3 linked regions of the Canis lupus familiaris genome follow. The protein of the gene in region 1 interacts with the protein of each later gene in a biochemical or structural test. Links are inferred from orthologs where the notes say so. Each region holds a gene or a part of one and is shown in the gene's direction. Other genes may lie near its edges.

The links.
Region 2: the proteins of PICK1 (region 1) and GRM7 form a complex in vitro, tested with the Homo sapiens proteins (2 studies listed by BioGRID, with this or other methods). The link is inferred for Canis lupus familiaris from reciprocal best matches to the Homo sapiens genes PICK1 and GRM7.
Region 3: the proteins of PICK1 (region 1) and PRKN form a complex in vitro, tested with the Homo sapiens proteins (3 studies listed by BioGRID and IntAct, with this or other methods). The link is inferred for Canis lupus familiaris from reciprocal best matches to the Homo sapiens genes PICK1 and PRKN.

What each region holds. Positions count from the first base shown.
Region 1 is NC_049231.1:27,609,321-27,620,021, reverse strand, and holds the start of PICK1 (PRKCA-binding protein), read left to right. Parts: upstream 1-5,224; 5' UTR 5,225-5,627; intron 5,628-5,787; 5' UTR 5,788-5,844; coding exon 5,845-5,885; intron 5,886-6,980; coding exon 6,981-7,092; intron 7,093-10,701. UniProt on the Homo sapiens protein: Probable adapter protein that bind to and organize the subcellular localization of a variety of membrane proteins containing some PDZ recognition sequence.
Region 2 is NC_049241.1:11,129,496-11,140,205, reverse strand, and holds the start of GRM7 (metabotropic glutamate receptor 7), read left to right. Parts: upstream 1-5,506; 5' UTR 5,507-5,575; coding exon 5,576-6,094; intron 6,095-10,710. UniProt on the Homo sapiens protein: G-protein coupled receptor activated by glutamate that regulates axon outgrowth through the MAPK-cAMP-PKA signaling pathway during neuronal development.
Region 3 is NC_049222.1:51,313,964-51,323,885, reverse strand, and holds part of PRKN (E3 ubiquitin-protein ligase parkin), read left to right. Parts: intron 1-3,630; coding exon 3,631-3,868; intron 3,869-9,922. UniProt on the Homo sapiens protein: Functions within a multiprotein E3 ubiquitin ligase complex, catalyzing the covalent attachment of ubiquitin moieties onto substrate proteins. Substrates include SYT11 and VDAC1.

The sequences.
Region 1 (10,701 bases):
GGGGTACAAGCTGTGCCCTCTGCTTGTGCCACCCTGCCTCTCTCAGCCTGGGGAGCACCAGCTCTTTCTTTAGGACTTAGCTGGGATGTCGTTTCCTCCAGGAAGCCTTCTCTGGGCCCACATAACATCCTGGGCTCCTCCTGGATGGCGAGACCCCTGGGGCCCAGGGATTGTTGGGAGACCTAAAATGCCCACCCGAATGTGCAAGGGCACTGTCCATTCTGAGCTTGTGACACGATGATCTGCAAACTGCAGGAGGCATTGAAACCATTCCACGGAGCTTTGTGAAAATGTAGCCTCCAAGACCTGCCCTTCCTTGGAGATTCTGATCTATTTTTGTTTGTTTGTTTGTTCTTTTTTTAAAGGGAGATAGAAGTTTACTGAACACACCACAAGGAAGCGGCAGGCAGGACAGCAGAGGAGAGGCTGTCTGCAAGGAGGCAGTAGATGGGGGCTGTGTTTAAAGTGGAAAGGTGGTGTGCCTGGATGGCTCCATTGGTTAAGCATCTGACTCTTTTTTTTTTTTTTTTTAAGATTTTATCCACCTATTTATGAGAGACACAGAGAGAGAGAGGCAGAGACACAGGCAGAGGGAGAAGCAGGCCCCATGCAGGGAACCTGACGTGGGACTTGATCCCAGGTCTCCACTTTGGCCCTGGGCCAAAGGTGGCACTAAACCGCTGGGCCATCGGGGCTGCCCAATATCTGACTCTTGGTTTCGGCTCAGGTCATGGTTTCAGGGTTGTCGGATAGAGCCCCACATCAGGCTCTGTGCTCAGGGCGGAGTCTGCTTCAGATTCTCTTTCTCTCTCTGTCATTGTCTCTCAAATAAATAAAACTTAAAAAAAAAAAACAATATAAAGTGGAAAGGTGAGGAGGTGTGAGAACATATGGAATTTTCCCTTTTTTGGTGACTGTGCCTGGTTGTAAGGAGCCCATTGGTCAGTTAGGGCCTATGGATATTTTGAGGAGCGTTGCCTGATGGGCCTGCCTGCATTCAGACAGGGCGTCACTGTGAGCCCCTTTCTACATTCCATCTCTCAAGCCTGTTTGCCTAAGAGCGGCCTCTACATTCCCCCTGACAGACAATGACAAATCTTTGGTTTTTGGATGTAGGTCTTACCTTTGGTAGCTTCTTCTTGCTGGAATGAGGGGCGTAGAGATGTCCCCACCTTCACTGGCTGGTCTAGCAGGGGTTCTGTGCAGTTATAGACCAGAACGTGGTATTAGAGTTACGTGCTAATAGGTGGTTTGAGTGAAACTCCTTGGTGGCCAGGGCCATGGGGCTTGGGGGAGGGGACCCTCTGATGGAATGGGCTGGGATCCCTTTTGCGCCATCACTCTGTAGATGGAATTGCTGGATTCACTCAGGACACATAGGAACGTGTCTGCCCATAGATCCAGCTGGAGACTCTGATCTAATAGGTCTGAGACAGGGCCCCAGAATCTCCACGTAAGACACTTCCTGCAAGAGTATGATGCAGGGGCCCGAGCATCCTAAAGCCCTTTAGTGCACCATTGGCTCCACCTTCTGAAGCAGTTGGGCAAAATAATTGCAGTGAGGCATGGCAATAAAAACCTGTGTCATCTGTGCCGAGTGAATCACTCACGAGGTACTTTCCCACCTGCTTCTCCTTTTAATCTTTGTCTCTTTAACTACTGTCTTGGGAGGGATCATCATCCTTAATTCTACAGACAGCTGAGGCTCCCAGGCAAAGGGTGACTTGCCCAAGATCCCCCAGCTACAAAACAGCAGAGCTCAGATTGGAGCTGGGGCCTATCTAGGGTGGGAGCGGGGGCGGCAGTCTATGACAAAGCCTCCGGGTTTACAGGTTGCTGTTTGTTAAAAACCAAAATTCCAAAATTCAGGACCTACACTGAGGGTGGTGATTCCAGCCCCATGGAGGAAGCTGAGGTCATTGTCGGGAGATCAGGTCTTTATCACCCCTTCTCCCTGTCCATCCATGTCCTCCAGGGCCCAGGACACGTCCCAACTCATACCAAGCCACAGCCATCTCAAGGGCACTTACATCCACAGTCGGGGATCGTGCCAGGCTCTGCAGGAGATGCTGGTAACCTCCCTTCTTGCACTTTGTAAATACTGTGTTTTTCACAAATTGAAACTCTGTGGCAACCCTGCGCTGAGCAAATCTGCGCTGTTTTTCTGACAGCATTTGCTCCCTTTGCCTCCCAGTTTCACATTTTGTCACTCTCACGATATTTCAAAATTTTTTATTATATTTGTGATGGTGATCTGTGATCAATGATTACAATCAATGATGACTCACTGAAAGCCCAGATAATAGTTAACATTTTCTTTTAGTAATAAACTATTTTTTAATTAAAGTATGTACGTTTTGCCTTTTTAGATGTATGCTCTTTAAAAAAAATTTTTATTTATTTATTCATGAGAGATACAGAGAGAGAGTGGCAGAGACACAGGCTCCATGCTGGGAGCCCGACATGGGACTCGATCCCGGGTCTCTAGGATCACTGGGCTGAAGGCGGCGCTAAACCACTGAGCCACCCAGGCTGCACTAGATGTATGCTCTTGCCCACTTAATAGACTGCAGTTCGGTGTAAACATAACTTTTATCTGCACTAGGAAACCAAAAAGTTCATCTGATCTCTTTTCTGCCTCATCCTCCCCATCTTCCAGGCCTGGTTCTGACCCACCTCTTCCAGGCAGCCTTACCAGACAGTCTCTCCTCACAAATCTTACCCCTTTTTGTAAGTTCCAGAAACAGTTATTTGGATCATTCATTTGGTCATGAATTATGTATGGCCTTCTGAAATCCCTTCGTGGCTTCCCTGAGCCAACTCTGAGTTGATTAACTTATACATGCTTGTACATTGTCCGAGGAGGATTTCTCTCCTTCGAAACTGGGGCTTATGGGGCGCCCGGGTGGCTCAGCAGTTGAGCGTCTGCCTCAGCCCAGGGCGTGATCCTGGAGTCCCGGGATCGAGTCCCACGTCGGGCTCCCTGCGTGGAGCCTGCTTCTCTCTACCTATGTCTGCCGCTCTCTCTCTGTATCTCTCATGAATAAATAAATAAAATATTTTTTAAAAACTTTAAAAAAGAAAAGGCAGTGGGAAGGCCCCGGACTAGCTGGCACTAAGGCATTCAGGGCTAACACATTAAAGTAGACAAATACTTTCTTGCAGGAATGAATGGATAAACCTTAGGGCACCTGGGTGGCTCAGTGGTTGAGTGTCTGCCTTCGGCTCAGGGCGTGATCCCGGGGTTCCGGGATTGAGTCCCACATAGGGCTCCCTGCATGGAGCCTGCTGCTCCCTCTGCCTGTGTCTCTGCCCCTCTCTCTGTGTGTCTCTCATGAATAAATAAATAAAATCTTAAAAAAACTGGGGCTTAGGGCTCATATCTTGACAAACTCTAAACTGCTTCTCCTTAAATTCTCTTTCTGTATGAACTTTATAACCCATGGCACCTTCCAGGGGATGCCAGGAAGCCATCAATGAATGGGTGGTGTCACTGTGACAAACAAGGAAAGACAATTGGATTGTTTGGTAATGCCTATTAGTGGGAAAATATTACAAACCACTTCATCAGTGGAGGGCGTCTCCTGGGTCAACTCCTGGGTCTCCCTAGTAGCAGGGAAACCTGTCCCAGCCAATTAAGGGGGTGAGGTTTGGACCATGAATTTGAGGGGAAATAAAGGTCAAATAACTTGTTCTCTCACCAGAGTAAGCACTTCTTATCTTTCCAGGCAGAAAGTCCCTCCCGAGGTCGGGGGCAGATCTTATTCTCTGTACAAGCAGGCCCCGGAGACATGGGGCTTGGCTCCAGAACACCGCAATAAAGCAAATGTCCCAATCAGGCAGGTCAGATGGACCTCTTCATCTTGACCTTCACAAGTACCTGTTGGGAGGATCATTTTCCCCTGGTCTATGGATTTCTGAAGCTCAGAGCCAGGCAGTGACTTACCCAAGATCACCCAGTTATAAAATGGCAGAACATGGGCTTGAGCTAAGAGTCATGGGTGGAGGAGTCACAGTTCCTGTTAAAGTGTCTGGCTTTGGAGGCTGGTGTCGTTTTCTTCTTCTTCTTCTTCTTCTTCTTCTTCTTCTTCTTCTTCTTCTTCTTCTTCTTCTTCTTCTTCTTCTTCTTCTTAAAGATTTATTTATTTTGAGAGAGAGAGAGAGAGAACAAGACAGCACATGTGGGAGGGGAAGGGTCAGAGGGAGAGAGAGAATCTCAAGCAGACTTTGAGTTGAGCAAGGAGCCAGAGGCGGGGCTCTATCCCATGACCGTGAGATCATGACCTGAGTGGAAATCAAGAATCAGATGCTTAGCCAACTAAGACATCCAAGTGCCCCAGTTGCTGCTTTTTAAAATTAAAATCCTGGCCTGAACAGGGTTTGGAAGTTCCAGCCCTAGCTCTGCCACTGACTGTGAGACGAGGAGAAGCTGCTTCTCTGTGCCTGTTTCCTTACCTGCACAATGTGGCTGACAACCCATGTCCTCCTCTCACAGGGTCATGGTGAACTCTGAGGCCCTGTGAGTCACCTGAGCTGCAGAGCAGTGGGTACATGGAAAGGTCCCCGCTACTGTGGCATTCTGCACATTTACCGGGACTCCGATGGGCTTCCTAAAGAGGGGGTGCGGGGTGGGGTGGGGCTCCTTCCTCCGCCGCCCCTGGAAGGAAGCTGTGATCCTCCGTGGGCCTCAGGGGGGCTGCTCCTCAGGACTAAAGACAGAGATGAGGTGTGAGGAGTCTCTCACCAAATACCATAGAAAGCATCTGCCTCAGTGCTCTTTGTTTGCATACGGCGAAAGGGGGCACATAAAGGCAACGGCAGGTAACTTGCCCAATCTGTTAACAGAGCCACTGAATACAAGTGTGCAGGCGTTAAAGGGGCGCTGCACTAGGTGGCAGGAGTCTCAGGGTCAAGATCTTGACCTTATACCAACGGTGGGCGGCTCTGGACAAAATCTCTTCTCTTTTTTGGCAGTTTCCTGGTCGCAGACTGAGAGTAGCCTCGAAGGGTCCTTCCAGTTCGGAGGCTGACATCCTAGTAGAGGAGACTCAGCACCCTAGGCCAAGGTGCTAAAAACATGAAAAGGTTTGCATTCCACTGAACTTCGCCGGAAGCCTCCGCGCCCAAGGATGCTTCCGTTGCCACGGCAACCGCTCGGCCGGCGTGGTCCCCGGCGTCCCGCGGAGGAAGCTGGGAAGAGCCCTGCCCTCACCAAGATGGCGGCGGCCACGGGGCAGAGGGCGGGGTTGAGCGTCGTCGGCCCTTCCAGACCTTTCCTCTGTTTCCGCTTTCTCGTGCTAACGGCGAGCTTCCGTCAATACTTGGGCTCTTTTCTGGCTCTGGGAGAGCCCGGAGCCAGGGAGGGAGGGTTGTCTGCAAGAACTGGGGCCAATACCCGGGTGGTCAGGTAGGCGGGACTTCCGCGTAAAAGAGGAAGTGACGCGACAGTCGCGGCCGCCGACAGGTGGAACGGCAGGTGGCTTCAGGTGCCAGCCTGGCCTGGACCCGGCTGTGGGACCGACGCTTCCGGTGAGCGACAGAGGTGGCTCCCAAGGGCCTGGAGATCCGTGGGGCGGGCTCTGGGGTGTGAGCTCACCGCCCTGGCCTGGAACTCCCCCCTCTACCTAGTAAGAATCCCGTCCCTTCCCGCCCCCCAACCTCGGGGACTACCCCCACCGTCCAGAGGGACAGGGGAGGGTCCGGCTCCCCCCGTATCCCCCGGGTGGAGGTTGACATCTAGGCACTTCGGGTCCCTGAACCCTACGCTCTTTTCTCTCCCTGGTCCAGTTCCCCATTCCCCTGCCGAGCTGGGCAGTCAGCCAGCCCACCTCAACTCTCGGAACCATGTTTGCAGACTTGGATTATGACATCGAGGAGGATAAACTGTGAGTATTTTGTTCCTTCCAAGTCCCAGGAATGCACGAGCCCCGGGGCCTCCAGATCCCCAGACTTCCCAGCTCCACAGACCCTTGCTTCTCAGCGGGGGTTAAGTAGGTCTTGTTCTATAGTAGAAATGGACCCTGCCCTTCCAGGAGCTCACCATCTGTAGGGGGCTGCGGACACCCTAGCAGATGACAAGTCAGGGCCACGTGGGTACTAATGGAGAATGGCCTGGCTACAAGGAGAGAGCAGAGGAGCAGTCTCTTGATTGGGGTGTTCAGGGAAGGCTTCAAAAAGGAGGTGGCAGTGGAGCCAGGTTTTGAAGGTGAATGGGAGTATTGTAAACATACTTTCCTTCCCAGTATAGGTAATTAGTAGGACAGATTTTCAGAAATTGTTAGTCTCTCAACTAAAATCTGCCCTCCATCAGTCCACTGCCTGCATCCTCAGCACTTAGTATGGTGCTCGACTCACCATCAGTAGGTTGCTGGTTTGTTGAATGAATAAGTGAATGGAGGCAAATATTTACAGCAGAACATAAACAAGTGCTGGTTTATACTGAAAATTGAGAGGTAATTGAGCAGAGCAACTGAGAGATGGGTGATGGATAATTTAAGAGGAGAAGGCTTCCTGGAGCAAGTGGCCATAATGTTCCACCTGTGCCTGAGAAGGTGAGAAGGACAGAGTCTGGATCAGGCCTCAGAGACAGGATGAAGGAGAGGGAAGGGGGAATCTGTTTTCATGGAGTGCCTGCTCTGGGCTGGACTGGTGTTAAGTGCCTTTCGTGTGCTTTCTTATAAGAATTTTCACCAAGTAGCAAGCCATTTCCATCCATACCATTTTATGGCTGAGGGAACTGAGATGCACAGAGGTGACTTACTTATCCAAGTCCTGTAGATGGTCAGTGGCAGAGCCGGGATCTGATCCTGCATCTGCAGGACTCCTAAGAGCTGCACATGTGCCAGCGCCAGACACTGTCTTTTTGGCCAATTGAGAAAAGAAAAAGCTGAGCAGCACTTGGAGCCTCTCAGGGGCTTCCTTCCTCGTCCCCTTTAAGGAATCCTCCCAGGAGATTCGGCCACATGTGCTTCTCTTTCTAGTGGAATCCCTACTGTGCCTGGGAAGGTGACCCTACAGAAGGATGCTCAGAACCTGATCGGGATCAGCATCGGAGGAGGGGCCCAGTACTGCCCCTGCCTCTATATTGTCCAGGTACTGGGTGCTTTGGAGGTGGGGGTGAGGTCCTAGAAGGGGTGAGCCACCTCCCTCCCCTGGGGCAGGCTTATTTTCCTGACTGCGGAGCTGAGGCCTGAACTCCTCAGAGAGGCCTTCCCGGGCATGCCCCTCAGTAGATGCACCCTGTTCTCTGCTGTATCAATGCGCTCCTTCCCTTCTCAGCTCCGCTCACCATCTGTAATCATGGGTTTGCCCATTCGTCGTCCTCTATCTCACTGCTAGCCAGACACCACACTGTGAGGACAGGATCTCAGCCTGCTTTTTCACTGCTGTCAGCACCAAGTACAACATGTGTCATAGGGTCAAATGCACAAAACTGTCGGCCTGGGGTACTGGTGCAAGTGGAATGTGAATTTTAGTGGAAAGTCTGCAAGTCCATGGGATGCTAGTGGCCTGGTGAACCCAAATGTAAGCCTCCCTGCTCAGCAGCGAGTTACTTGGTAAGCTCTCTGGGCCTCAGCTTCCTCATCTGGCAAGTGAGAGTGTAAAATGTGTAGGTCACTGTGAGGATTAACCAGAATGCCCCAAACATTGCCCGGCATTTAATAAATACGAAGTAGAAGATGTTGTTTTGTACCTAGCAGTTGTTCATGTCCCCGAGACACTCTGCCAGTGGTACTGAACATTTTTGTGGTTCTTGTAGATGAAGCTGCTTTGGTGACATTCTATCAGCTGTGACTCTGAGCAGTGGGGACAGTTTACTTTGTGACGGGTCAGTCACTGGTTTTTCTGTAGGCTCCAAAGGAAGCTTGCCACAGACATAAATGTGACCTGCCTTCTACTCTGTTCCCACTTTCTCAGCTCAGTAGCCATTGGTGGCAGATGGGAAACTGCTGTCTCTCTGAGAATCTTGCAAAAGAGTCACTTTTGGGCCTTGAGGACAGAGATTCCCGGGATGTAGCCTGGTCTACTCTGGGTGCTGCCTTCACGAGCTTTTGGCCTCCTCTGACCCAGGAGGTATTAGGGAGGCCTTGCCCAGGCCTGGGCCCCCCTGCTACATGCCTGCTTGGTCCCTGCCACCTCCCCCTTCTCACCCATTGGGGGCTGGGTTTGTGTAGAACAAACTACGGTTATAAAATAATAGAATTTGGTTTTTAAAAATTGAATTTTTTTTATCAAAGCGTATCTGACTTGCTCTGAACAAGTCGAGAGTACTAGAAGGCCTGTGTCAAATAATAGCACCCACTGTTGCACACCCCCCCACCTTTTTAAAGATTTATTTATTTGATGGGGAGAGGCAGAGGGTTATTTTAGATGGGTAATCTGGTTACTATATAGGTTGTTTTTTTCTGGACATTTTATATAAAAAGAATCTGACATGTCACCTTTGGGGTCTGGATTCTTTTACTGAGCATAATGTTTTTGAATTTCATTCCAGTGTTGGCATATTTTTTTATGGCTGACGAATATTCCATTTTTGTGGATGTACCACAATTGTTCATCCATTCATTTGAAGGACATTTGGCTGTTATGAAGAATGCTGCTGTAAACATGCATGCGCATGTTCTGAGTGTACACATGCTTTCATTTTTAGGGAGTGTGTATCTGAGAGTGGGAGCAGGGTGCCAGCTCATATGGTGCCTCTGTGGTTAACTTTCTGAGGAGCCTCTGGTCTCTTTTCTTAACTCAGTCTTTTCTTTTTTGAACAGGTTTCTCGGGTTTCTTCCATTTGCATTCTCTTTGGACGTTCACTACCTTTCTTCAGGCAGCTGTTTGCCCTCATCTTTCTGGAGTCTGTCTCACTGTGCCTCCCCTTCCCTCTCTGGGGGGCTCCCCTACTTCCAGGAGCCCTCTTTCTTTCCTTCTCTCAAGTCTTTAATTTGATGCCAGTTAGTTAACATATGGTTAACTACATAACATGTTGTTAACTACACTAACATCCAGTTAGTGTAATTGATGTTAGTGTCAGGTGTGCATACTAGTGATCCAACACCTCCTCACATCACCTGGTGCTCATCACCGACAAGTGACATCCTGAATTCCCATCACCTGTTTCCCCCTTCCCCTCTGGTGACTGTCAGTTCTCTAAAGTTTTTGTTTGTTTAGTTAAAGGTTTATTTATTCATTTGAGAGAGAAAGAGGGGGAAAGCATTGGGGGAAGGGGCAGAGAGGGAGAGAGGGAATCTCAAACAGACTCCCCGCTGAGGGTGGAGCCCGATGTGCGGCTTGATCTCACAACCTTGCAGTTGTGACCTGAGCTGAAATCAAGAGTTGGATGTTTAACGACTGAGCCCCCCCAGGTGTCCCTGTTCTCTCTAGTTAAGAGTCTGTTTCTTGGTTTGTGTGTGTCTCTCTCTGTTTTGCCCTTTACCCATTTGTTTTTTCAATTCCACAAATGGCTGAAATCATATGGTCTTTTTCTTATAGACTTATCTTGCTTAGCATTATACTGTCTAGATTCATCTGTATCTTTGCAAATGGCAAGATTTCATTCTCTTTTGTGGTCGAATAACATTCCGTTGTATATATAAACCACATCTTCTATATCCATTCATCAGTCAGTGTACACTTGGGCTGCTTCCATATATTGACTCTTGTAAATAATGCCGCTATAACCTTAGGGGTGTACCTATCTCTTTGAATTAGCATTTTTATATTCTTTGGGTAAATACCCAGTAGTGCAATTGCTGGATTGTAGGGTAGCTCCATTTTTAACTTTCCGAGGAACCTCCATACTGTTTTCCAGAGCGGCTGCACCAGTTTCCATTCCCACCAGTAGTGCCAGAGAATTCCTTTTTCTCCACATCCTCACCAACACTCTGTTTCTTGTGTTGTTGATTTTAGCCATTCTGACAGATGTGAGGTGATATCCTGTTGTGGTTTTAATTTGTATTTCCCTGATGATGAGTGATGTTGAGCATTCTTTCCTGTGTCTATTGGCTGTCTGGATGTCTTCTTTGGAGAAATGTGTGTTCATGTCTTCTGCCAATTTTTTAATTGGATTATTTGGCTTTTGAGTGTTGAGTTTAATAAGTTCTTTATATATTTTGGATACTAGCCCTTTATCGGATATGTCATTTGCAAATATCTCCACCCATTCTGTGTAGGTTGCCTTTTAGTTTTGTGGACTGTTTCCTTTGCTGTGCAGGACAGGAGCTGTCTTTCTCGGCTTACTGCCTCATCGAGGTGGAGCACATCCCCCTGTAGCTTTCTGGAAAAGGCTGCATGGAGGTACATTTTTTGAGAGTTTGAGTCTCTGAAAATGCCCTTATCCTGTCTTTGTTGTTATTCTCATATCCCTTCCAATTGACTTCGGCAAATCAAATTCAAGAATGACTCTCCCAAAAAAGAAAAAAAAAAAAAAAGGCAAGTTTGAAAATAATTTTCACTTAGAAATACAATGGCTTCCTTTCATTATCTTTTGCCGTCAGCACTGTTATGTCTGATGGTGCCCTGATCAGTGACCTTTTATTTGTAATATGTTTTATCCTTGATCTCTCAAGACTCTTGGGAGTTTCCTTTTGTTCTTGGCATCCTGCAGGGTCATGATGATGGCTCTTGGCACAGGCCCTTGTCTGTCTGTTGCGTTGGAGCTCAGAGGGCGCGTCCCTCCAGGAACCTCATGTCTTTCTCTGCCCTGGAAGT
Region 2 (10,710 bases), on another chromosome or scaffold:
ACCTAACATTCTGCTTAATAAAACAGCATAAACCTCACACATTGGTCATGGTTGAGTCAAGAAATCCAGGAGATTCAACTGTTAGGTTCAAATGCACCATTGCTCATAGATAAGCAGTTGGGAATATAAGGATGTGATTCTTCCAAATAAGCAAACTCTACTACTTTAAAATTACTACTAGCTATAGATAGGTAAAATAACACACCCTATATGTTCAACACACATGCAAAAACTTGTACTGTTGCTATACATTTTATCATGAGATGAACATTAAATTGTTTTTTGAAGATAATTTAAAAACCCATTAGTTATACTCAAGCCTTCTTAAATTTTAATTTTACTTTTCATTCAATAGGTCATTAGAAATCACTGTCATTTGGAGTTTGGTATCATATGGTCAAGGTCTGGATTCCCATCAAGAGCTAACTCTAAAATTAATATACTTTCATATCAGAGTTCAAAACTTTCTATAGATTATTCTTATGGGTATTTAAGAATCAGTAGCTGTTTTTCTTTTAATTATGTGCTTACCTTTAAGCAGTAATGATTTAAATTAGCATCCTCAATTTTGAGATACCCAACTAAGTTGAATTATTAGCCTAAGCAGAGAATGGGATAAATTGGGTGACTAATCCAGACATTGCTGGATTTAGGGTTCCAAATGATCTCATCATGGTTCTACCTTTTTCCCTATATCTTTAATCTGCTTCCCTGCATGAACTGGTTTATTCTCAGAGAGAGAATTCTTTGTTCATATGGTAGGAAAAACTGAGAATCCCCACTTTCTATCTTCATGGATAAGAAGTTAAAAGGAACAGAATTGACTTCTTTAAATATTATTCATCAAATCTCTGGTTCTTTACCTATCTTTGAATTTTTTGACCTCATCAGGGGAAGGGAGAGCTCACCTCTGTCAACACTAGATGTGTGCCACATCTGAGTTTGAGTAGGTAAGGCATTATGATTGATAGTTCCATCTTGATTCATAGAGGCTGAAAGGGGTTCTTGTCCAAAGAAATGGCTGTGGATGTTACCAAAGGAACAGCAGGAATCTCTCCCCCTACCAACGTAGGGGGTGTACAAAATTAGAATTTCTTAAAGGATGGGATCAGGAAATAGATGCTGGGTGGCATAAGACATCTACTACAAATAAATATGACAGGAAAGTATAACAGATGAAAGAGAAAACTTTCTCTTTCTCTCTCCATTAAAAAGTGTCCTCCACTCAGTAGTGCAATGCAGATGTAAGATTGTATTAAAGAAACAAACAAAGAAAACAACAAAAACAAAAACACAACTGTGGATGGAGATTTAGATGAAGGATGGAAACTGAGCCAGAATATCTTAGCAGCAGCAGCAGCAGCAGGAATAGCAGCAGGTAAGGGGAACAACTTTGTAAATTACAAATTCGGTTTAAATAGGGAGGGAATTAATTGGAAGTGGAGAAAGTGGAGAGACATTATTTTCTGCAGAAATACAATGAGCAAAGGAAAATAATAAAGCAAATAAAACTAAGATGATTAAGAAAACACAGTGTTAAAAAGATAAAATTAGGACTGAACCCTTAACTTGAGTTACACATTTTTTTTATTAATCCTTGGGTGAGGACAGGTTAAGGACTACAAAAACCAAGCCTGTGAAAACACTTTATAATGTATGATCTTTGGGCCTAAAACTAGATTCTCTTCCCATTAAATATGGCGCTAGAATGATGACTGGTCCGGTTTTAAATCAACTAGTCTTACACAGAGATTTTTGGTTCATATAACCTCAAAAAAGCACATACTGTGTCACGTGTTAGGTTCCAGATCCTGTGCTCTGTAGCTAAAGATATAAAGATGAATTAGATACTGTAAGGCTTGGATGTCTGTAGATTTGGCAAGCTTAGCATCACTTCCCTGTTTCTCTGGTAACAGATCACTCTTTCCACTCAGTTCAAGTGGTGCTAGTGTCTGGCTTCTGCCCTTCCTCAATCAGCCTATGAGAAGGACCCAAGAATTAACACTTAACTCAGGAAGAACCGATGGAAGCCTCCCTTTATAGTTGATCAAGAGTTTTAAGATTAGAGTATTTCAGTCCTAGGCAGTTTTTGTAAGACACAATTATTTCAAAATCTACTAATTATCTTTGAAGTTCTAGAAACTGCACAGTGTGACTAAGAGGGCAGCAACTTATCTGATACTGTTTCTGCTCTGCCCACTTTATGTTTCAGTCATTGTCAAATAAAGGCAGTGGGAAATGGCAAGACCAGTTTTGATTCATTCAACACATGAGTGCTTCCTAGGTACAAAACACCATTCCAAACATTGCCCAGGAGAAAAAGATAAATAATACCAGCCCTTGCCCTCAAGGATCTTACAACTTGGCAAGGGAAATAAGACATGAACACAGATGACTGCAATAAAAAGAAGACAATGATTGCTACCAGATGTTTGGGGAGAATGAGCAGAGCAAAGAGAGAGCATAGAGTAAGGCAACATTTAGTAGTCAGCCAAGAAATATTTATTGAGCAATCACAGGATATGAAATGGACATGGCAAAGTACAACACGGACTAGGACTTGGGCAGGTGAAAAATCAGGCGACATTACTTGTTACCCAACTTTCTAAATATTTTTTTTTGTCACCAAGTTCCTAATAAATATTCTTAAATTAAAAACTATATAAGGATATAATCTCTGAAATACAGCCTGGGGCACCAATGCCTCCAAACTAGGATTGTAGTACTTGTATTCCCAAGTATGCCTTCCTATTGCTTTGCTTCTCTCTCCCTTTCCAAATTAGCTGATGGTAACTTAAGATACCCATTTCAGGCCTTCCACCCTTTTTGAGCTGGTGTTTTACAGCAGGTGAATTAGAAAGGATCCTTTTGGCTTCAAACAACAGAAGGAAAATAGTATAAAACTGAAAAAAATAATCCAGAGGCAATCTTGCTGGCATGTCTGGATCTAAGAGTCCAGATGTTTAAGTCAGGCCCCTATCTCTCTCTACCCCCACCCCAATTTCTCCTTTCCCTTTCCCCTCTTTTGTCTTTTATGATAGGATTCAAATGTCTCTCTGTTTATGTGGAAGCTCCTGGCACAGCTACACACTTATATCCTTACAGCTCCAGAATGCCAGGAAAGAGTGGGGGCCATAACAGTGTAAGATTGTAGCATAGTCCCATCTAGATTGATTGATACTCACATTGTACATGGAGGCAGTATTAGTACATTAATTATAGCACTGTTCTCTTGAAACAGACTGTGCAATGTGTTCTTAGATAATAAGAATAGTATATTTTCTAAAAGATACACATGAAGTATTTTGAGGAAGAGGTAGTGTTTTTTTTTTTTTTGTTTTTTTTTTTTTTGTCTTTTTGTTTTTTTGTTTTTTGGTTCTAACTCATTCACATATCGTCTGTTGGATAGTGGTAACCTTGTGTCACTGTCCTGCATACCACAACAAAAGTCCAGGGATTGGTCCTGGATGGCTCTGGCTGGGCTCTATTCCCATCCTTTAACTCATCATTGTAGCCAGTCATCAGCACTAACTTATAAGAAGTGGGTTCCATTCTCAAATCATAGGTAATGAAACATGGAGGAGGAGCTTATCTAAAAAGAATTTGATGGACTGTACTATCCCTAGAAGGAAGAGGAATAGATGATGGACAAGAAAAAAAAAAAAGAAAAGAAAAAGAAAAAGTCCTGTGTACTAGAATATGTTTGTAATGTACTTTGGAGTTAAAAAAAAAAAAAAAGGTCTCTTACACATAAAGAAATAGAGGATATTGGCCTAAAAGAGAGATCCATGGCCAAAGGGACATGGCTTGTTTTAAGAGGATTTGAGAGTTAACAGATGCCATGGAGAGCACCCAGTTCAATCTCATCATTTTACAGAGGGAAACTAAAATCCAGATAGGAAAACAGAAATGACAAGAGCAAACAGGTAGTTGATGGCAGAGACAAACCACTATCTTCTGACTTTGTTTTGTGTGTGTGTATGTGTGTGTGTGTGGTTTTTTTTGTTTGTTTGTTTGCTTGCTTTTTGTCCAAGGACATTTTTCTTTAGTACATCAACAACAACAACAACAACAAAAAGCCTTGTTTCTGGTTTTCGTCACTCTCAAATCTGTATAATATAGTTTTGCTGCCCTCCAACAGAAAACCTCAGCAAGAGTTAACCAGCCTGAAACCACCCTGGTACCAAGGACAGAGACATTATCCTTCTTTTATATAAGAACCAGGGCCACCTGTTGCTTTAATAGCTCAAGTTTGGTCTCAGCCTGCAGGAGGGGACACCTTTGAAAATCAGCTTCCTAACCGCACTGCATCCTGATTTAGCTACCAAATCTCCAGCCAGAAAAAAAAAAAAAAAAAAAAAAAAGATAGAAAGGCATCTGGATCACTGGGGAGTCTTCTACCTGCCTCTCTTTCTTCCTCCTACTGTCACCTCTTTTCTGCTGCTTCCTGCCCGCGGAAACCTGTCACCAGCCCAGAAGCATCGCTGGAAATGGGTAGGAGGGAGCCTTGCACCTGTCAGCGCCAGAGCAAAAAGTGTGCTCTGCAGAGTTCTCGGGTGTTACATCTCTGGCGACGAACGGAGGGAGAGAGAGGAGTCCGAGCTTTCAGCCACAGACTTGCTAGAGACCGCGGTCAGCCCGAGCCATCCGCCCTGGCCCCAGGACCCGGTGAGGACCCAGGGTGCGCTTACGTTCCTAGCGTTTCTCGGCGTGTTTTCCTAGGAGCCGGTTCAGTGCCTCGCCCCGGACAAGTCTCCGGGTAAAGGCTCTTTAAGTCATGAATCAGGTTCCCGTGTATATGCGTGTTTTTCTTACGGAAGCCTGGCACAGATCTACGAGGAGTAGGCAGCGGGTCCCCCGGCATCCCCGCCTCACCGCGCCTCCCTCGCGCCCTCGGGCTCGGCCAGCCGGGGCTCGCGACGGGAGGGTGAGAGCAGGAGGCGGCATCGCGCCCTCCCGACCTGGCCGCCGCCCGTGCCCGGCGGGTGCGCGTGGGTGCAGGCGCGCGCCGGAGGCTGCCAGCGTGGGAGCGGAGAAGCAGCTCACGCCTGGCCTGCGACCTGCAATCCCTAGATTCCCCGGGGACCGCGAAACTCCCAGTCGGAGGCACTCCCGGCTTAGCCGCCCACCCATCCCCCCACCTCAGCACGCAACCCCTCCCTGCGTGATGATGCAAACCAGTGGGGAGGGCGGGCGCTGGGAAGGGTGGGGAGAGTCGGGGAGCTCGCGAGGGAGGGGGGAGGGAGTGGGAGGAGGAGGAGAGGGAGCCGAGCGACCATTTAAAGCGATAGCAATCCTTGCCCTCTCCCCAGTGCTGGGCTGTTGGAGAGCGCGAGCGGCAAGCCGGGGAGCGCGAGCGCGGCGCGCCGGCCGGCGAACCCGGGAGCGCACGGAGCCCCGATCCGGCAGGCGCCGCGGGACCCCCGGTCCTCTCCCGCCGCCCCTCCCCGGGGGCCCCCACCCTCCGCGCCTGCAGGAGCCTCGGGGCTTCCCGGGAGGACCTCACCCCGAGGGGCCCGGACCCCGGCGAGCCCGCCACCGTCCCCTCCAGCGCCGCCGCCGCCGCGGGAGCAGCATGGTCCAGCTGGGGAAGCTGCTCCGCGTCCTGACTTTGATGAAGTTCCCCTGCTGCGTGCTGGAGGTGCTCCTGTGCGCGCTGGCGGCGGCGGCGCGCGGCCAGGAGATGTACGCCCCGCACTCCATCCGGATCGAGGGGGACGTCACCCTCGGGGGGCTGTTCCCGGTGCACGCCAAGGGTCCTAGCGGAGTGCCCTGCGGCGACATCAAGAGGGAGAACGGGATCCACAGGCTGGAAGCGATGCTCTACGCCCTGGACCAGATCAACAGCGATCCCAACCTGCTGCCCAACGTGACGCTGGGCGCGCGGATCCTGGACACTTGTTCCAGGGACACTTACGCGCTCGAACAGTCGCTCACTTTCGTCCAGGCGCTCATCCAGAAGGACACCTCCGACGTGCGCTGCACCAACGGCGAGCCTCCGGTTTTCGTCAAGCCGGAGAAAGTAGTTGGAGTGATTGGGGCTTCGGGGAGTTCGGTCTCCATCATGGTAGCCAACATCCTGAGGCTCTTTCAGGTAGGGAGGCGCTCCCCCCGGGGCAGAGCGCGCCTTAGCTCCCCGAGCACTTGATCCTAAAAGCTGGCTGGGACTCCAGGGGTGCGGGGTCAGGTCAGCCTTCGCGCATTTCCACCCTGGAGATCCGGCGAATCCCTCCCACCCCACCCGAGGAGGTGCCTTCCCCGCTTGGTTCATTTCCCTTCCGTCTCTCCCCTGTCCGCGCTCCACTCCATCCGGCTTGGCATCCTGGATTTATGGCCCCATTTACAAGAAGCAATCTGCGAAAAACAAGGCGATGATTTAAATGGGTTTGCATTAGAGTGAAATATGGTCCAAAAAACCAGGCTTGTAAAAGTGCCAGGCTCCTGTGAGAGCCGGCTGGGCTCATGGAATATGAAAGATGAGAAGACGCCTCGAAACTGGGCATTTCTCAACTCCCCAGCTTCCCAGCCCCAAGCCGCCCCGCAAGCCGCAGCTCCCTTGGAAAATTTCGAGAAGAGCTTAGGGAGGCACAGCTTAAACCGAGGGCTAGGTCTTCGCCTTCGTGTGTGGATGCTAATTGCCCATCTCCCTCGGGTTGGATCCCCCGACCTGTGTAGCCCGTCTCCGCGAGGGCGCGGGGCGAAAGGCACGGGGACGCTCCCCAAGCGGGGAGGTGCCACCGCAGCCGTGACCCCCGGGGGATTTGCTCTGGGCACTTGTTTGCACCGTCTAAATTGCATTTGCAGTCCGGCCGCCGGCAGGAGCTGGGCGATCAGCTTTCTACTCCTGCCACTTCAGAGCCCAGAGATGAGCTCATGCTAACTGCGAAACAAAATCGCTTTCGCTGCCTCCAGCCCCCGCCCATCCTTTCCCACGACCTCCCGAACGCAGCCCCCCAGCCCCCAAACGCCGCTCCGCGGACGATTCCCGGAGCCTGGCGAGAAGGCGCCCGGAGGGAGGCTCTGGGGTGCGCGGAGCAATGCCGGCGGCCCCCCGGCTCCGGGCGCCAGAGGGCAACGGCGAAAATGGGAGGAAGGCGGATCCGGGGCGGCTGAGCGGTGGGTTCTACTGCAGTGCTCGCTCTCCGCCTGCTCCTGCCTTCCGAGCCCCGGGGCTCCTCTGCTGCATTGGGTACAAAGGGGCGGATTTGGGATTTTAAGAAATCGAGTCACAGGGTCTGTGTGATCGTGGGTTCCCTTGTCCTTATTTCTCCCGTCTTTCTCGTTCTTCCTTGTTTTTCTCTTTTTCTCTCCCTCTCTTTCAATTTCTGCTTCTTTTCTCCCTGTCTCCCCCCCCCCCCCTCGCACCCTCAAGTTTTTTGTTCATCTGTGGCTTGAGATGGTCTTTTCCTAATGCACAGCTCTCCCCTTTCCTGATCGTGCCCAAACTCGATTAATCCCTTCTTCAGATGGGCTAGCTAACCCTGGTGCCCTGATGCTCCCCACATCTAAAGAACTGGCTCCCTTCTGGTTGCTTTCCCTAAGGGTGTTGGGTTTCTGCAGGGGATTCCTTGCGAGATTCGGGCTGTCACCACCTCAGCCCCCAGGAGTGTGAAGTTTGTGTGTGCACCAAGAGAGGTGTCTGCTCAAGGCTGCAGCCTGGTATGGCCCCTCTGATCTGAGCACCCCTAACCCTTCTTAAGTGTGCCATCCTGGGACTCGCTAGATATTTGCAAACCCGCAAATGCTTTGGGGGCACCCTTAATTCCGAGATGATGCTTTGGGAAGAGGCTGGATTAATGTAAGCAAAACCCAGAAGCGTTTCCTTCTTGTCTGTGCTTAAAGCGAGGCAACTTCAGAGGGCAGTGCTGCAGGAGAAAGTGGGAGCAGAGATGACCTGAGAACCACTGGGGTGACTCACAGCCCTGTGAGCCCTGAGCCCTGGGGGTTGAAGGCACATTTGGTGTTTCACATTTTTAAATTATTTTGGTGTGGGTTTCTCCTTCACTCAGCACACAGGCAGTGCTGCAGATGGGCCTGTTGGAAAAAAGAGTGAAATGCTAAAGTCAGGAGGGGAGGGATCGCAAGCTCGGCTGAAGGACTGAGTTTGCTGGAAAAGATTCCAGGGGGAGCTGATTCTTCCTCTGGTGTGTGAACCTGAGGCTCTTGTGAGAAGAACGGGAAATGGCTTGCCTTATGCTTAGTTCCCCCGTTCCCTGGGCTGGGAAGGAAAGGAAGCGAATGCCAGTGTTAGCAGTGTGGGTTGGGACCAAAACCATTCAGAGAAAACACTGTCATTTTCCTCTAATTTGCAAATTGCAGCTATTCATGTTGGATTGAACAGCTGAGGGAAAAAGAGCCCCCAGTTCTCACCTGCATTTATGGAGAAGAGGCTGGTGGCAGGAGGAATGCACCAACTTGTAGCTTGTGCTGTGAGCTGGGTAAAACTGTTGGTGTGGGCATCCTGCTCAACCATTGCCCAGATAGATAGATAGATAGATAGATAGATAGACAGATAGAGATTCCAATAGCCTCAACCTTTTTTTTTTTTTTTGCACGTGATGATAGGAGCTCCTGGCATGCCAGTCTAATCCCCAGTTTCCAAGCCTCTATAAGCCTGCAAAATGAATAGAGAGAATAGTGGTACACAGACCCATTGTTCAAAGGCACAATCAATTTAGAGAGAAAGCGGGAAAGAACGGTAGGTGACTCTTCTCTGGGATTGCAGGGTTCAGCTCAATTAAGATTGTCCTATATAAAAGAAGCTTCTCTAAATGATTGAATTCTGAGCTCTCCAGAGAATTGAGTTTTCTTTTCCCAGGCCCTGTAGGTTGCTGCGGGGACCATGCCAAAGCTATCATTTGAGATAAAAATTTATTGTGAGATAAGCTTCTAGGCTGGGTGAAGGAATACTTGGTGACTTAAATGGGGGAGTGCTCCACACTTTGATGGGGTGGGACAGCAAAGAGTAAAGAAACAGTGATAAATGTAGCTTATGCTGTTGTAGCCAGCACAAACTGAAATGAAGTTCTTTCCTGAGAATTAGGATCTGGGCAAGAATGACTCCTCAGATGTAAATAGTGCCTATGACTTTGAATTTTCATTTGCCTGCTGGCGTAGAAGACCAAAGCTATGAACTGAGCAAGTCCTCTCCACCCACCCCCCCTTCTTCTGTATCACACTGAATTGATTAGTAAGTGACATGTCAGAGGATAGGAATGATGTCCATTGGGTCTTTCAAATCTAGGAATTTGAGGCTAATGAAATTAGTGTGTGGCCAGGGCTCTGCCAACTAGAATTAAGTCACTGCAACCACCCTGCAATGCATTTTTAGCCTCAAAGAAGCATCAGGGAGAATTTCTGGAGATTTGTTTCTGAGCCTGTACAAAATAATACTCTCCTAATGCTAAGAAAGATTAAATGTAAATTAATTTTGACTATGAGTAACGTATTTAAAAAATAATCACAGAGTGGGGATGGCTTAAAGTGGAGAGCTTATATAATGTGGTGTCCAAAGGATAAATCTCCCCTGACCACGGTTTTATGAGCTATAAGTAAGATATATTAGAGTGGAAAGTAATGGTCATGTTTTTATTCAGGGCTTCTCTGTTACTGACTTGAGAGCAAACACTCTGAGCGTATAAATTACTCTTGCTACATCCTGACTCTGAATGAACAATATTTCATGGCCAGTGACATGGTGTAAGCTATGGACTTGGAATTGAATGGTGTCTGTTTCAGTTGCTTTGTTTCTTCAAAAGCAACTAGATGGGAAAAGTAGCCAACTTGACTCTTGTTGGGGCATATTGCAAATCTACACCTGTGGACCTTGTACCATCAGTGAAATACATTTGTAAATTTCTAAATGTTGTCCTTCTGTTCATTGAAGCTTGAATATAATCTCCAACTTTGGGGGCATTTTAGATATATGGGCCTAGTTTTTTTTCTATCTTTCTTTTGCTCCTTCTCTTCTCTCCTTTTATCTTATGTAATTGGATAGAACTGGGCACCTAGAATGGTGTGGTATTACTATAGTGGGGCCTTTTTTTAAAAAAACCACTCTAACCTACTCTTTTCAAAATTTCATAAATACAGGTGTCAGTGCCATTTGGAATAGGCTCTATAACAATCTCTGCCTCCACATTTACTGTGTTTCAGGAAATTTACCTAACAGATGGTGAGTGGGCAATTTTTAAAGGGGCATTTTTGAAAAGAGCAGAGAGGGAAGGAATAGAGACAGGCACATACTATATTTGAAGATACCTCTACATGTATATTTTATGATACTTGCCCATGATATAAAGATGTCTTTAGGGATTTTTCTCTTCAAATATAATAATGGATGCCTTTGCTTCAATTCCATAAGCATTGAGAGGATATTGAATCATAAATGCACCATTTCCTGCATATATGGGTTGTGTCATGGGCTTAAAAGCCCATAGCTGAATGACACAAAGTACACGCCAATCTCAATCCTGCCATTAGTTAGCTCTGTTACCCTGCATAAGTCACTTAATTTTTCCATGTCTCAATTACCTCACCTGATTTTTTTTTCTTTAAAAACAAATGTAGTTTCTAAGTCTTTAACCTTTTTGGGTCATAATTTGCTTGGAGAAAACCCGCTGTTGTCCAAAATCCATTTCCAGCTGCCACTTTGAACTTTGAGTGAGTTTGAGGTACTTTTAAAGAATGTTTTCACACAGGTATCTTAGT
Region 3 (9,922 bases), on another chromosome or scaffold:
AGGAAGTTTTTCCTATACTATGAGAACTAAATATTATTTGGGGCTTTGAAATGACTAGACAACTAAACTTTATCCAATTTATCATCTCTGGAATGTGTTATTAGTAGGGCTTTGAACTCTACCAACGTGATGGTGTAGTTATACCATCTGGCAGAGGAACTGTTTCCGAGATCAACACCGCTTTCTATGAGAGGTCAAAGAATTAAGCAGCTAATGGCCTCAGAACCGTGGATGGAGACCAAGAGAAATATGTTCTGTACATATCACTGTAGCTACTGAAATCTGCTTGGGATCTTCATATCTTCCCGTTCCCCTTTCCAGCTCTAGCCTAGGCATTAAAAAAAAAAAAAATCTCGAAAGGAAAATCTCAGTTTGGGGATTTCTCCCATGGTTGTCAAATTTTAGCAGGCTCTGAGAATTTGCTGAGGTTCTTCATGTGTTTCATGGCATCTGAGCATATAGGCATTTTTTTTTAACAATGTCTAGTTCACAGGAAGCTGGAATGTTGTCAGAAGGATTGTCACATCTATAGCATCTTCTTATTCTGCCTTCTATGCCCATTTTCCAAGTAGGACTGTGTCAATGGGACAGCCTAATAAGATTCAGAGGCTTTATTGACGTACAAGATCAGAGGCCAGTCTTGTTTAGTTTTCAAAACTCCTGAATGATGATACTGATACTAACACCTATGTATTTTGAGTTATTGCTGTGGCTTGGGGTCTGCCCTCCTTCTGTTTCCTTAAATCTTCAGAATAGTCTTCAAAGTTTGTGGTATTGCCAATGAAAAATGTAGAAACCAGAGCTTAGGGAGGAAAAGTAATTTGCCAGAAATTATACAGCTAATAAATTACATCTATTTGGCTTTAAATTCCACGTTCTTTCTTCCACAGCCTCTGGTTCCCCACAGAACATTTTAGGTATAGAGCTTGTGACTTTTTATATTTGTTACATTCATTCATTTATTCATTCTTTTTTTTTTTCATTTATTCATTCTTATTTCTGCCCCCATCCTTTGACTTTTCCATCGACGGGCATATTTTCTCTATCTGGTACAAAGCACTGTGTGAGTCATTCTGATAAGTAAAATACAAGTATGACCCAGTTGCCACTCTCAAGAATTTCTAAGTTGAGTCTGAAGATCAGACAGACAGACAGACACCCCCCCCAAAAAAAACCTCTACACTCTGACCATGGCAGGAAGAGCATGACAGGCAAAGATTGCTGACACTCAGGTGCAGAAGAAAGGCATTACTTTTATCTGAAGCATGTAAGTCCTGAAGGTAGAGAGAGGAATTTTATCTGACTGAATTCTTGAGCCTCCTTGAAAGGAAAACACTATGGACAAAAACCTCAGGGGATGTTAGGAGACTCATTCTCAACTGTTTCCTCCTGTTGCAGAGCTCCTGTCCTCGCATGTCTGCTCAAGTGTACTCAGATCTTGGTGTTGCTTTATTTGAAATGACTTAGGCTCAGGGCTATGTACAATTCCTATGGTCCTGGCTGAACGCGGAGGCTGTGATAAATAGTGATAGAATGTCTATCAGATCAATGAGAATGGAAAATAGATATTGTCAGCTATTACTGCCTAATGAACAACCACAAAAATCCCAGTGCCGTACATCAAATGAGCATCTCCTTCATGTCAACTGGGGGTCCGTGGTGCCAGCCTGCCTCAAGCTGGAAGGCTTTTCTCAAGCTGTAGGTACAGCTGCCCTGGTCCTCTCTGTGGTTGAACACAGGTCTGTGTCAGATGTACACATGGGGCCCTGGCTCAGGAGGTGGAAAGCACCCAGAGGTGCTCTACTGCTGACCACAGCAGTGGTGCAGATACATTTTAAGGCCCTGGTTCAATCATATTGGCCAAAGCCAGTCACGTGACTGAGCCCAAATCAAGTCTAGAAGGAGAGATGGGAGTGAACAGCTCTGATGAAAAATCTCATCTCTCATATATACGATGAAGGAGATGGAAAGGAGATCAAATCATGAGATAGGTGATCTAAAAAAGAGAAAAGTCTAAGCACACCTGAAGATGATAGTAAGATGTCAGATTCTATACAACAGGTAATAGTGAGACATTTGAAAAGGTTATGTCGCACACTCCAGAAACTTGTACATAATAGATGATAGAGGGAGATGGGAGGTCAGGGAGCAATTGCACAGCTACTATAATGATGAAAGCTTAAAATGGGGAGGTGGCAATTGAGAAGTAAAGGAGCAGGAAGATATGAAGGCAATTTCTGAATCAGAATTAGTTGCTCTTGGCACCTTGCTGGATATAATGGTAGGGTGGAGGAGCCCACAGCGGTGATTCTACTGAAGCCATCAGAAGACACAGAAGGATCATCAGAGTTGTAGGTGATGGGGGAGGGCCTGATGCCTGTGTACCATGGAGGAGGGCAGTGCTTCGACAGAAATGGGGACATGAGGTGGGGCAGACTAAGATGGAGATTGAGGACACAGTGACCATGGCTGAGTAGGAGCCACCCTGAGATTCACAGAGCTGTGAGGACAGGTGGCAAGGAAAGCAAGCATGTCCAGGTGACAGAGGCCTGGGGCATGGGGTACAGAAGCAGAAATGGTACTGAGGACCAGAGGGCATCCCAGTGATCTTCTGAGTCCACAAGGTGAGCCTGCAGGAAATGCTGCTGCATGTTGGGCACCCCTCATAAATGTTTGCTGGTGATGGTGATGGAGCTCTGGAGGGAGGATGGGGGCCAGTTATGACTGTTACAAGCATTGCTGTGTTTGCATGGTGTTGTTTGAACATTGCTACGATGAGAGCATGATTGTGGGTAGTTTATAGATATTGAAATTCAGGGATTGATCGAAAGAACGAGGTCCTGGCTCTGCAGGAGGAGGACTGCAGACAGATGAGTGATTTTCCATCCAGTAGATATTCTGAGATGAGGCTTTGATCTCAGGTAGTCTTGTTTTAGCCCTAGCAAATTATCTGACTTCTAACTTTAATTCTAGTAAATTTTACAGTCTTCTGTTCATACACATCAATATATTGATGCAGAGCATTTTTTCACATATTCACTGATTTTAATTGTGATCTTGGATGGATTGGCCTGCGTATGCTGTTCACTTGCTTCCCCATCGCTGTGGTGATGTTTGCTGGTGACATAGGGGATGCGTGTGGAGTCTACCATAAACATGATTTTAAATTGTAGAGAGAAATGCTCTGTAACTGACAATAACCAACCCTCTGTTTATAAAATGGAGATGAATGCCAGTATTTATATCTGAGAATTGGGAGGACACATCACTTCAGAAGTAAATCAATTTTAAAAGAATTTTGCTTTTTGCTGTGCTTATGTGTGCAGTGTGGTACGTTTTTGCCCTATGAGCTCTCGTGTTGCTTTGACTGTTACCCTAGTTTTCTGTTGCTGTGTTCCATGTATCCCCACGTTTTGGTAGCAGGCATGTGTGTGAGTGCCGTGGCCCTGCTGACCCTGTGTCTGCCTCTATCAAACACACATGGCTCTCAAGTTCCATGACTGCTGCAACCTTGGGCCTAAACAGATCTTAGCCTCTTCTGTGGACTCTGGGATGGAGGACAAGTCAAACCTTACTTGGCATTTTAATGATTGCACTTTCTCAGTCTGTGTCTGCCTTGTTCCCACACAGAGCTGTGACCTGGATCAGCAGAGCATCATTCACGTTGTGCAGAGACCCTGGAGCAAAAGCCAAGAAAGGGAGGTCCCTGGAGGAGATGGCCCACGGAAGGCAGTGGAGGGCTCAGACAGAGAGCCTGAGAGCTTAACGCGTGTGGACCTCAGCAGCTCTGTCCTCCCAGCCCACTCGGTGGGTCTAGCTGTGATCCTGAGCGACGACTCTGAGAGGGTTCTGCCAGCCAGAAGACCAGGTAATTGTACAGATTATGTCTACGGCCAATAGAGCACTTTGTGTAGCCGACCTCTGCAGGGAAGGGGCTCAGTATGTACATATTTAATTCATGTAAGGTCTGGATTACTAGAAGGAGGCATCATTAGAAGGATGGCACTTGGCTATAAAATTTGAGGTGAATACATTTAATAAATACAATAGAACAGGGCTTTCAAATTAAGAATGAAGGGAAGGGCTGGAGCAGGTGTCAGGACCATGGTCATGGTATTTTATTTTAGTTATTTTTAAATTTAATTAATTAAGATGAAGCAGGATGCTGGAAATATGATGCATTGAGCTAGGGTCAAAATACATGATTAAGGTGCATCTATATCCCTCCCAGGTTTTGCCTTTCTTTTTCTATTTCTTATTTTCTTAAAATACATTTTGGTTTATTGTGTTTCTGATGATGTAGGGAAATTTCAAAAAACAGAAAGAGAACTTTAGAGGTAACTTTAATCGTGTGCCAGTGCTAAGACATTACAATGTCAATAACACCCGCAGTGTGAACGATGTTTCTGTCTTTCCGTGTTACACCCCATTTTCAAAATGCTTTTATTTAGCAAGGATGGCGATTCCTTTCTTATTTTGCCAATATTAATGTATTTCCCTTAATCTTTTATTTTTATTTTTTTTTAAGATTTTATTTATTTATTCATGAGAGACACAGAGAGAGAGAGAGAGGCAGAGACACAGGCAGGGGGAAAAGCAGGCTCCATGCAGGGATCCCGATGCGGGACTCGATCCCAGGTCTCCAGGTGAAGGTGGCGCTAAACTGCTGAGCCACCCAGGCTGCCCAGTCTTTTATTTTCCGATCTAAATAGTCAAAGGTAGGGGTGCCTGAGGGTACCTGGGTGGCTCTGCCTTGAGCTCAGGTCCTCATCTCAAGGTCTTAGGATCAGCACCCACCCCTCTTCCAACTCCCTGCTCAGTAGGGAATCTGCTTCTCCCTCTCCCTTTGCCCCTCCCCACTGCTGTGCACTCCCAGGTTCCTGCACACACACAGGCTCTCTGTCTCTCTGCCTCTCTGTCTCAAATAAATAAATAAATAAATAAATAAATAAATAAATAAATAAATAAATAAATCTTTTAAAAAAACAGTCAAAGGGGGCAGCCTGGGTGGCTCAGTGGTTTAGCGCCTGCCTTTGGCCCAGGGTGTAATCCTGGAGTCCTGGGATCAAGTCCCATGTCGGGCTCCCTGCATACAGCCTGCTTCTCCCTCTGCCTGTGTCTCTTCCTCTCTCTCCCTGTGTCTCTCATGAATAAATAAATAAAATGTTAAAAAAAAATAGTCAAAGGTATAACAGGATTCTTTTTGCCTGTGTGTGACAGAAAGCACAAAATAATAGCAATGACTTTGTAAAGTATAAGTAAATTTCTCTCCTATATACAGTAAGTGAGGATTATATGAGACATAGGAAAAAATGTAATACATGGGGAAAAATGAGATCCATCTAAAACTCTGCAGCACCCATGTGATCCAGAATGGAAAGTTAATATAAGTATTGGACTCCGATTTATGGTGCATCTGATGTTTCAAGTGGAGCATACATAAAAGCTATTCTAGAGAACATTCAGGTGGCATGGCAGGTCGCTTCCAGAGGGAATCACCCCCTCTTAAAGGGGCACACGTCATCAAACATTACAATTCAAACAAAGAGACATTCTGTCTTGAGTAGAAGTAAGTATATTCCATAAACTGGAAGATTGGTTTCCCCTGAAACTTGAGAAAATAAAGTAACAATTTGAAACAGAACACAAAACAAATACTTTTGATGTTAATTAAAGCATAAAAGAAAAAAATTGAAACCTAAAACAGAATACAACCATAATAGAAGAACAGCTATTAAATAGAACATAATTTTAGCTATTGGAATGAAAAAAAAAAAAAAAAAGTCCTCAGTGGATGGGTTAAAACAGCAAGTTTGGCAATGCCAAAGAGAGAAATTGTCAACTGGAAGATAGAAATGAAGGAGTTGTCCAAAGTGGTACAGGTTAAAATGTAAAACAATGCTTTTAGGAGACTGAAAGTTTGGAAGAGATGGCCAAACATATTTCTGATGAGTTTCATGACAGGAGAATACAGAATAGAAAAGAGACAGTTTTCTAAGAGAATACTGAAAATTTTCCAGTATGTGTAAGTCCTCTGATTCAAGAGTACATGGTCCCAAGCATAATAAAACAAAGAAACACACAATTGGTCTTAATCAAGATGAACAAAAATAAATTCACTTTATAAAGAAAGTAAAGGACCAAGGAAAAAAAGAAGATATTAAAACCAATTGAAGAAGGAGATTACTTATAATAGAACAGTAATTCGAATGGGTCCTGGCAGGAATAATAGAAGAAAACAATATTGGAATAATATCAAATGGCCAAGGGATACACTTGTTAACTTATGGCTCCAAACCCAACAGGCCTAACAAAAATATTGCTCAAGAGTGAGAGGGAAATAAAGACACTTTCAGATGAACACTGAGAGTATTTGTACTCAGTGTGAAAGAACTGTTGAAGTACTCACAACAGCGAGGAATGGGTTTGAACTCAAAGTGACAAAATGGGATATGAGAGATGATGCTCAAAAATACAAGGATAAATACAAGTTTAAATGAACATTGGTATAAAAAATAATATTGATTAATTTAATGGGTACAAAAATAGGAGAGACCAAAGTAGAGGATAAAATGACATTTAGGAGAAAACTGATCAATTCATGCGGAAATATGTTCAAGGTCTCATTAATGATCAGAGAAATTAGTATTACAACAATATTTTATCAGTGTAGCCTACCTGATGGGCCAATATTTAAAAGTCTGACGATACCAAGCATTGGTTAGTATATAGGGCAAGAAGTACTTTCATACTTGATGGTGGGAATGTCCATTGATTTACCAGAGATAGCAACTCACAGCTTCATAATAATTAATGAAATTACAGATCTCTACATATTCTGGAACTCAGAGTACATGAGGAGACATCTATATAGATGACCATAATAGGACCATTGGAATTTATGAAAAGATAGCAATAACAGTTGTCTTTAAAAGTAGAATGGATAATCAGCATTTTATTCTTATAATGGGTTGTAAATTGCAAAGGAATGTTCAGTAAGATACAGTTTATGCAAAATTTATGTAAAATTTCAAACATAAAGTTCAAAGCAATTATATCTATTGTTTATAAAACGATAACCATGTAATATATTTTGTCTAAACAGGATATGTTTGAGAGTTAAAATACATTAAATATGATTAAATTGTAATTATACACAATTATTTTTAAATATTTATGGATCAACAAGTTAGATTTGTTATTTTAATAAATGAATGAATTAGTTCTTCAATAGGATTTAATTTCTTTTCAAAAGTTAAAAAATTCATTTTCTTTAGAGCAAAATCAAGCTTTTATATTTATCATCTGAACATTAATAATACCAGCAGAATAATTATCCTTTGTACTTACACATTTTAATCAGTTTCTTAATATATCTGACTCTGCCATTTTTGTCAATGGTATCTACCTGAAGACTAAAAACAAATCTTACTGTTTATTTTATTATAAAATTGTCTTTAGTCATCTTCAGTTTTATTTTATTATGAATAATTTTGAAATTATTGTCACCTTCAGTTGATTGTCTCTCTAGACTATGATACTTTTAGTTAAGAATTTCTTTTTTGGGCAGCCTGGGTGGCTCAGCTGTTTAGCGCCTGCCTTCGGCCCAGGGCATGATCCTGGAGTCCCAGGATCGAGTCCCACGTGAGGCTCCCTGCGTGGAGCCTGCTTCTTCCTCTGCCTATGTCTCTGCCTCTCTCTGTGTGTCTATCATGAATAAATAAATAAAATCTTAAAAAAAAAGAATTTCTTTTTTCACTGTAGGATTGAGAGAGATATAAGTAGGCTCTCAGAATATTCTGCTAAATGTTTAATATTCACTTCATATTTTTTAAAGGATTTTATTTATTTATTCATGAGAGACACAGAGTGAGAAAGAGAGGCCAAGATGGAACTCTCTGAGGTCTATGCAAGTATAAACAGTCTTATCATGGAGCACAGAGTCATCTGAAGGCACTAGCCATAATGGTGTTGTCATTTACCATATTATGTACATTTATAGGAGTTTATCTAATCTCTTGGTTGGGTTGAAAGAATTACACATTTCAATTAAAAATACGAAGTGAGGGACGCCTGGGTGGCTCAGCGGTTTAGCACCTGCCTTTGGTCAAAGGGCATGATCCTGGGGTTCTGGGATCACTCTCTGATCATCCTGTTCTCATTAACCCACTGACTGTTAGCTGTATGTATTTTTGCAGGGCTGGAGACTAGTCATGGTACCACTTGCTGGGGCACCAGGTGGCTGACAGGGGTGCCATCACACACCCCCAGACCAGGAATGAGCTCTCCTGGGGCCTTGCATGTGGTGTGAGGGGGATGTGCTAATTATAGAGAATCTGGAAGGGATAGGGAAAGGAGAGATGCATTATACCAGGCCAACTTTAAGATTTAACTATGTTGGGGCACCTGGGTGGCTCAGTCAGTTAACATCTACCTTCTCGTCAGGGCACGAACCCAGGGTTCTGGGATAGAGCTCCCCCATCAGGCTCCCTGCTCAGTGGGGAGCCGGCTTCTCCCTCTTTGACTCTCCCTGCTTGTGCTTTCTCTCTCTGTGACAAGTAGATAAATAAATAAAATACTTTTAAAAAGACTTCTTAATTATGTTAAAATTGAACTACGAAGAGTCATCCCTTCATCTTCAGATCTGGGAAGAATCATCTCCTTTTCAATCATCTCCTTGTACCTTCTACCACTTTTATATATGTACTTCATTTCCTTTGCATATACTTCTTCTCATTGAGGACAGGATATCTGTCCAGTTTATTACAGTTTTTCCCCCAAGTCTCCTAGAAGAGTGACAATAAACATTTACTAAATGATTTAAAATTATAAATGTAGTTAAGATTTTCATCATAATTTCTGTATACTTAACTTTTGGAAGCAATACTTTATTTAAAATTATTTGACTTCACTTCTTAAAGCATCTTGGCAATTTCAGTGTTGGAATGAATGTAGTACCTTGATTGGGGTTATTTGGAACGATTGTAGGGGCAGTGCGCTTACATGATTATTTTTCTTTACTAAAAATGACAGGTTAGAGTTTCTGGAACAGTAATTCACTCCAGTGTGCAGAAGAGCCATCTGTGGATACTCATTCTGTGCTTATTAATTCAGTTGGCTGGGGGTAGAGGCCCAGAAATCCCAGTGCTGACTACATTCTGAGAAACTATGCCCTACAGCAGGGATTTGCCAACCTTACAACTGTGAGTCCTGCCTGGTGTCCTCAACTAGGTGGGAGGAAGAAGGCAGGTCAGGGAAAGAGAAGTGGGCAAACCAAATCAACCCTTGGTAGCCAGAGCAGTTGCATACTTAACTAGTTTTACATATTAATTAACCCTTCTATAACATGTTTCATTTTGGGAAAATAAAACCCCTGGTTACAAAATATTTTAAAAGCTGTGCCTGAAAGAAAGAATTTGAAGAGAATTAAACTCACTTTCTTCACGTTTCTAGGGTGTTCAAATTAGACAAGGAAGAATTTAGGTGCCAAACTTGGGAGATCTCTAAAGGGCAAGTAGCTAGGCTCTAGCCACATGTGTGGCAGAAACAAATCGGAACTTCTAAAACCATGCAAGGTGGGTTTTTTTATTATTATTTATAGATGGCAAAAGATAGCTTAATTTGAGAGACCCTGTTAATAACCAGTTATATGATTTTTACACTTAGAATATAGGACATGTTATATATCCTTATATATTTATAAGAGGAATTCAAATAAATCAAGTGACTCATTCAGGTAACCCTTAGAGCAGTGGTTCTCAAGCTGTAGTGCTCATCAGAATTGTGTGAGGGCTGGGTCCAGCCCAGTCAGCTTGCAGTAAAGGCTGAGAATCACCATTTCTTTGCACTCCCAGGTCATGCTAAAAGTGTCATTCCAGCAGCCATGCTTTGAGTAGCGCTACTTAAATAATACTTTTTAAAT